Linked DNA regions of Kluyveromyces lactis. The protein of the gene in region 1 interacts with the protein of each later gene in a pairwise test. Links are inferred from orthologs where the notes say so. Each region holds a gene or a part of one and is shown on either strand. Other genes may lie near its edges.

What was found.
Region 2: the proteins of MPS1 (region 1) and BEM1 interact in binary tests that used the Saccharomyces cerevisiae proteins (3 or more experiments, as listed by UniProt). The link is inferred for Kluyveromyces lactis from reciprocal best matches to the Saccharomyces cerevisiae genes MPS1 and BEM1.

What each region holds. Positions count from the first base shown.
Region 1 is NC_006039.1:347,654-352,039, reverse strand, and holds MPS1 (serine/threonine/tyrosine protein kinase MPS1), read right to left. Parts: upstream 2,854-4,386; coding exon 472-2,853; downstream 1-471. Other genes in the region: ARP2 (actin-related protein 2), read left to right, coding at 1-268; CRT10 (Crt10p), read right to left, coding at 3,272-4,386. UniProt on the Saccharomyces cerevisiae protein: Involved in mitotic spindle assembly checkpoint signaling, a process that delays anaphase until chromosomes are bioriented on the spindle, and in the repair of incorrect mitotic kinetochore-spindle microtubule attachments.
Region 2 is NC_006041.1:2,076,484-2,080,235, reverse strand, and holds BEM1 (phosphatidylinositol-3-phosphate-binding protein BEM1), read left to right. Parts: upstream 1-1,248; coding exon 1,249-1,257; intron 1,258-1,475; coding exon 1,476-3,194; downstream 3,195-3,752. Other genes in the region: putative ubiquitin-specific protease UBP16, read left to right, coding at 1-831; KLLA0_E23343g (uncharacterized protein), read right to left, coding at 3,474-3,752.

The DNA.
Region 1 (4,386 bases):
TGGTGGTTCATCCATGTACCCAGGTTTACCTTCAAGGTTGGAAAAAGAACTAAAACAACTATGGTTTACAAGGGTTCTACGCAATGATCCCACACGTTTGGATAAATTCAAGGTCAGAATTGAGGACCCACCAAGAAGAAAGCATATGGTGTTCATTGGTGGTGCCGTCTTAGCGAACATTATGGCCGATAAAGACCACATGTGGTTATCGAAGCAAGAATGGCATGAAATAGGTCCTGCTGCAATGTCAAAGTTTGGACCAAGATAAATGAATGATTAAAACTCTTATATAATAGTACATTTGTATTACGTAGGTAAACTTATTAATGCACCCATAGGTTCATTTGCTGGCTTCTTATGGGAGCACAGCATTCATATGTTGCTTCTTTATTCAATGCAGGAAAAAAAGCCATAAAGACGGCATGTCAGAAGTGCTTTATCCCAGTACTGCCCTCAGTGCAATAGATTAATCTATAATTTAAATTCAGCTAGTTTGTTCCAAACATCTTCAGATAATTCTTCCACACGCTCATTATTGACATGTTTTTGATCGCAACCATAGTTTACTGCATTTTTTATCAAATCATGTATGAAGAATTTTGTTACGGTGACAGGATTAATTAATGCACCACTTAATAGCTGGTCAATTGTAACACGAGATATGGGATTTCTTTCCAAACATGATCTTATAGTGTCAATAACAGTTCTTGGTATCACTGTACCGAAAGAGTCTTTTTCAGGATAAGGAATCTTAACATCAGGATTCATGATCGCATATAACCTATTGTTTCCCTGGAACGTACCATAAGGCGGTTTTCCGTACACCATTTGGTAGAGGATACATCCACAGGACCAAACATCTGATGGTTTACCCACTTTCCATTTGGCTTGTTCACCATCATTCCTTGTGAAGTTCATTGCAACCAAAGTCTCGGGAGCCATATAATTGGGAGTTCCGATCTGGTTGTCTCGATAAATATTTACAGTGTGATCGGGAACCGCATTCGCAATCCCAAAATCAATTATCTTTAACATTCCCTTGACGAAAACAAAATTTGCGGGTTTCAAATCAGAATGGACAATATCAGCATCGTGAACCACCTTCACACATTTTATCATTTCTTGAAAGTGATATCTGACAAATTCCGTATCAAATGGTATTTTGGATCTCTGAGTCAATACTTGGGATAGATCATGTTCACCACATTCCATTAGGAGAAATAAGACACCTTGTCCCATATGATAGTCAATTAACTTAACAACTCGCTGCTTGTTTTCTAGTTTCTTTAGAAGCTCTATTTCCCCTTTGAAGCCATCAATACTGGACTCATCAAATTCATCGAAAGACACGCGTTTCAACGCGTATACCTTGTGATCAGAAGATTTCACTTTGTAAACTTTACCCGATCCACCTTTGCCGAGTAGTTCCACCTTTTCATATGCGGTACCGTTCACTGTGATCGTTGGAACAGCATACGAGGTTCTCTTCTTTGTATCAAAGGAGCCATTATAGTTCAGATAATTATCCCCCTTGTTCAGTTTTGATGAAACATCGCAACCCTCGGACTTCAAAGGAATAACTTCAACAGTGGATTTCGGAGGTTCCACTATCTCGACCTTTTTAAAGGGTTTCGAATCATGTGGCGATGGTGCCTTCCTATGGGAGAAAAAAGGAGGTCGATAATCCTCGGGTACATGATCATTTTCGTACTTTGGTCGCTTAGCTTCTTGACTGCTAGATGGATTATTGACATCTAATGGTTTCAGCGCTTCGCGTTTGTTAGCTAGTTCACGATCTACCTCCTGGAATACCAGCTGATTTTTCTGCAATGGAGAAGAAAGCGGATCCTGTAACGACGTTTTATCTGTGCCAAAGTTGTGTTTTCTCCGTGGTTGCCGAGCTGTTTGAGTTCTCCTATATTGAGTGAATTCCCTCTTTAACGCCAGCGTTCCAGAGGTGGCCTTTCTCAACACGGTTTTTCTATTCTCTTCCTTTTGCCTTTCAAAATATACTTTCGAGATGTACGGAAGCTCACCACTGGGAAGATTATACTTCTTTAGGTACTGGTATGGGTTGAGATCACCAAAATCTATATTCTCATAGTTGATGTTAGGTTGCAGATTGGCGGAAGGGTCCTTGTTCTCATCGTGGCTGGGTGTTGAATGTTGTCTGTGAGTCTCTAGAAAAATGTTATGGTCATGGTACCTGTAACCTGTATTAGAACTATTAGAGGTATGCGAATTTTCAATATCTTGCTGGGAAATGTTAGATGTATCATTTATTATGCTACTGTTGATTTGACTATTATCAACCCTGGATTCACTAGGGGAATCCACATTGAAACTTGTAGAAAGGTTACGTTTGGCAGGTCCTAGTGAGGACAGTCGGGAAGTGATAAACCTTCTATTTCGTTTGTTTGATGATTTGGTTGTACTGTTATATAGCTCCTCTTTCATACTCTGTTGCAGTACTTTGAACTTTTGAGAAGTATGACTGTGAGTGTCGTCTTTCATCAGTGACTCCTCGTTCAGTTTATTATATTTGTTGTCATGGTTGCTATTTGAATTCGAAATATCATTATCTTCTTTGACCACGGTATTCATTGTTGTCATGCTTGGTTGGAATTGTTTATTCACCATTGTGAAAACTGTTGATTGAGATTGATCTTCTGTGTGATTCGAGGTATGTGTAGTGTTCCGTCCATTGAAATGCCTAACAAAATGCAAAGGGTTCGAGTGAGTAGGTTCTTCTAATCCTGTTTTAGCATCTTGATATCGACTATACTCATGTTGGCTTTCTGCTGTAGGAAATGACGACTGGTTAAGTCGTACAACTCCATCAGATCCAAGCATCAAATAAGAAAGTGTATTGAGGCTAAGGAAAGGGAGCTGCCTTTAAGTTTAGATGGTATCGTTGCAGCAAAAGTATCCACACACTGTAAGAGTATTGATGTACCTTATGATGAATTAACCAATATACTTAGCACAGTACCTACAGCTGATGTTTAGCTCCTAACGGTTGAAATAATTAAAAGAGATTAGTTTGTTTATACTTCGAGAAAGCTTTGGCTTTTCTGGGTAAACAGCACAAAAACAAACAAAAAAGTGCGGTGCACGGATGGAGCAATAAGAACCTTAATCTTCAAGTGAACACCGGTCGACAATTTTCGAAAGGATAATGAGATGGTTAGGCATACTCATATGCTTTCATTTGTTTCAGAGTGGATACTACATCTATTAAAGCTTGTATACACAATGCTATAGCCAGCACTTATCTGGAGAAGTCATTGGGGGAAATTTCGTATACTACCAGACAGGCTGTGGTACAAACATATAATAATACCGCATTAGTTTCGGGCATATGTATGTAATCCATACTTTGAACCATTGGGTACTTGATAACAAGTCTACATTCGTTGCAAGTGTGATGGAAGTCTGAGTTATTTTGTGTGAATCTTCTGTTAGTTTCACAAAACGTCGATCTCTCTTCGTCATCACTATCGTCACATATATCCTGAATTCGAAGGATATTTAAAATCTTCTCAAATCTGAAAGCATAAATGCCACGCCACTCGGTTAATCGATAAAGAAACATTAGTCCAGAGCCATTTGCAACCACAATGCAATTTATTTCGCGTAAGTGACAAACCATTATTTTGTTGCTTGAGAGATCAACACAGTTGAAATTCAAGGGAAATATCGGCCTAGTAAATGCATTCATGATAATTGGATCTGTTCCAAGCAAACTGGTCTCAAAAGTCGAAGTAGCCTCAAATATGAAATTACTTCCTGATGTCTTTGAAAAAAACTTTGGACCATCGTTATTAAATCTTGATTCATCGCAAATCCGAAGATATTTAATTATCGATTTATCCACGTATTCATCAACAGCATCTTTATCAATGCGATTCAGTATAGGGATATCTAGTTGTCTAGCGGTGAAACAATCTTTAATATTAGAAGGAGAAAATTCTCCACTTTTCAATTCTGAGGATTTAATTTGAGTAAATTTCCAGGTCTTGTGGAAGTAGATACGTCTCAATAAATCAGCTGAGCACTCAATATTGTCTATAAACTGGAGATCAAAACAAGGATACCCTTTCCTTTCGATTCTTAAAGTTTCTACTTGATCTTGTAAAGATAGAAATTTATCCTTGTAGTCTTTACAGAAGTCGAGCTCCGCATCCGAAACAATCTCCCAACCAATTCTTGTCTGTCGTACGTCAGACCGGTCAGAGGTTACGTGCACCTTACCGACTTTAGAATCACCATAACCATGTGATCGTTTGGATATATAGCAATCAGGATCCTGTGAAAATGATTCGTTGAGTACCTTTTTATTAACATATACCTCGTGGTAATGTTTTCCATATTTTTGATATGCGG
Region 2 (3,752 bases), on another chromosome or scaffold:
CAAGGTTCTCATTCTACCGGTCACTATGAATGTTTCAGACACAAACCAGAGTTTATGAAAGACATTGATACACATCAAGTCATTAGCAAGACACCAATGGTGGACTTCGGTATTGCGTCGAATAAACTTGCAGCTGAAATCTGGAATCAGGCCGTTCTGAACTCCTCTAACAAATCCGATTCTTGTTCAATCGGCTCGGAAGATTCAATCTCCTCTAACGTGCCATTCAGATCTGTTTTCCTGGACTCACCAAACTCTGCGATTGTTACTGATGATGATTACGTTATTGGAAGCTCAGAGTTCTCTAACGACGCAGATAATAAGGGCCAAAACAACAACAGTGGTTCTGGAGTTTCAAGGACGCCATCCACTTTGAAAAGAGTCACTGGTTTCCTTTCGAGAAAGAGTTCTGTCTCGGCAGCACCGGATAATAACAATACTAGCAATATACTACCTGAAATTAGCAGTTCACCCATGGCTTCATCATCTTCAGAACATAGAAACCGCGCAAGATTTAACAGTGTCTCTTCTATGACGACTGACCGCAACGCTTCGATATTATCTAGTAATGCTAGTATCGACTCTTACAGTACAGATCAAGTTACTAATACAAGTGCTACCGAAGTGGAAACTGAAACAGATTATGACGGTATTTCAATGAATGTCAACAAGAAGACAAAGAAAAGAAGATTAAAGAAATTGAAAAGTGTGGTGAAATACCCATGGTGGAGAATATCTGATACTAAAGTTAAAGAATATAAAACTTCAGATATTTTATCAGAAACTAAATTCGTTTATATGTTGTACTATGAGAGGGTACCAGTAGTCTAACCTGGTCAGTAAGCAAATACTGGAACCAACATAACAACAACCAAAAGAATAAGAAAAAATAGAAACATAGACATATTTTACTAAATTGCACAAGCGGCACCTCACCGCTCCGAATCATTCATCCTTTGTCAATTAACTCATCGATTTATGATGACCACAGGCCATGTATTACTCGATTAATTAGTTTTAGCACTTTTACGTTAACCTTATATACATATACTGTACGATCTTTAAATTTCAGATCATGTGACCTCTAAAACCCTTCTAGAATGAAATTCTTCCTTTCCTTCTGCGGGTTGATGAAGCGAGATGAAAAAGGATTGACATGAATAAAGAGACGAGTTTCAGGAATTCATAATAACAGAGTTGATAGACGAAAGCTGCAACACAAAGGCAAAGGCAGTCAATAGTGGGAAAATGTTGAAGGTATGTAATAATGCGCGTGGTATTGTCTTATGTTTGGCAATTTTGACGTAGTAGCGGAGGATTTCTGACTTTGTTAGAGGCTGGAAAATTTTTCTTTACTGAAAGAAGGTAACCACATGAATATTGCAACGTGAAGGCAAAATACTAACATATACTATGATCATTGGTTGGTGATTAAATTGAACCAATTATCTAATTTCTGGAAATTTTTGGAATAGAATTTCAAATTGAAGAAAGACAGTGTGAAACAGCGCATAACTTCTGCGGATATTTCCGGACCTACTCAAAGTCCAGGGAGCTCAGTGCAAAACGTAAAGACCATTCCTATCAGGCAATTATCTACATCATCACAGCTATCTTCGGGGTTTACAAGTGGAAAATCAAAAGATATCTCGTCTCCAGAAAAAGTAATCAAAGCGTTATACAATTACCAGGCACAATCAGCCGGTGAATTATCATTCAATAAGGGAGACTTTTTCCATGTTCAGCAAGAGGAGAACGATTGGTATGAGGCCTCCAATCCGGCGGACGGCAAGAGAGGCATGGTTCCTAAGAATTATTTCGAGATTTTTGGCAGAACAAGGCCAAATTCGCATGCATCACCGGTGAAAAGTATAAATAGAAATGGATCTGTCGGTAGTAATCAGTTATTACAGCATCATCAGCAGCAACAGCAGCAACAGCAGCAACAACAACCTTCCAATATGGGAACTCTTTATGCAATTGTACTGTATGATTTTCAAGCAGAAAAGGCAGATGAGTTAACAGCCTATGCCGGAGAAAACTTGTTCATTTGTGCTCATCACGATTTTGAATGGTTTATCGCTAAGCCCATTGGCAGGTTGGGTGGTCCCGGTCTAGTTCCTGTTGGTTTTGTGACTATTATAGATATAGCTACTGGTTATGCCACGGGAAATGATGTAAAAAGCGATATCGAATCAGTGAATCTACCCTCGGTCCAAGAATGGAAGATCAATATCGCCCGTTACAAGGCTAGCAATATCACACTAGGTTCAGTGGAACAGCAGGGTCAGTCGTACGTGCAACACCGATCACAATCCAGGCAAAATTCACAAAACCGTCAACCACACCCCAGCACGCAGCACTCGAGCGCTGCCAATACAACCTATCCTGCTGATGCCGTTTTCCTTACCTACGCTGCAGTCGAGACATTTTTCCTACAGGACGATAAGTATTGGTTCCAAGTCTCGTGTCAGTTATCCAACAACACCACGCGTATTTTGAAGCGTTATTATGAAGATTTCTATGATTTACAAGTAAAGCTACTCGATATCTTCCCTGCAGAAGGGGGTAAACTAAGAGACACTAATGGTCAGTGGACGAAACGTATAATGCCATATATACCGGGTCCAGTTCCGTATGTGACAGATACCATTTCAAAAAAGAGAAAAGATGACCTAAATATATACGTGAAGGATTTGATTTCCCTACCGCCGCATATATCACAATCACATCTGGTCAAGGGTTTGTTTGCCGTTAAAAATAATGGTTTTGACCGTGAGATTAGTAATGATGAAACTGTGGAGCTTGACGTAAAAGGTAGGGCTGATGATTCAACTCTGACTAACCAAGAACTACAACTTCCAGAGGCAATGAAGAGACTGTCTCTGATTAATAGCGCTTCCAATGCCAGTGCTAAAGTCAAATCAAGGCCGCCTAGTGGTTTCGCTCCGAGAATAACTGATGAAAAGCCTGTCAAGATCAAATTTTATTACAAAGATGACATATTCGCCTTGATGCTGCATCCTACCATTACTTTTGAAGAATTGTGCAGTAAAATAGCACCTAGAATTGACGCAGATTCTTTTAAGTTGTACATCAAAAACGGAGATGATATTGGCACTCAAGTCACTACTGATGCAGAAGTACCGGTTCTAATTCAAGAGAAACGCAAGATCTTTGTCGATGACAGCTAAGTTATTTGTTGCAAAATTTTATCGTCATAATAAATAATACAAAAAGAACCCCAAGGTGGTCAAAATTCAATTTCTATCCACTGATGGCTTTCATGCTTATCATAATGATGTACTGTACATCGCATTGTAATACTTCAACATAATTTTGACATTAACACTCTTATATTCTTTCACATTAATTCAGTTCAACAAGTAAAAATCAGTTGTTTACATACTCTCTCTATAGGTGTTAATACTTCTATCAAAATGATAATAATACTTCACAAACATGTCTAAGGACTATTCATCCAGCTCTATGTCCATGTCTGCATCCGCGTACGGATCTGTATCGAGATCCATGTCAATGTCCATGTCCGCATTGTGATCAAACTCATCATTTCTATGCATGAGATTCGGTGCCAGATCAACTCTGGAATCTGCTGCAGTCTCAACATTCATATCTACTTCATCTAATTTTGGACTATGCTGTTGGTACCATTTTACCCACAAGCTTGCTACCACAGATCGCCAGTCATACCATTTTATTACCTGCGAGTTAAACTGTCGTACATGATCGAA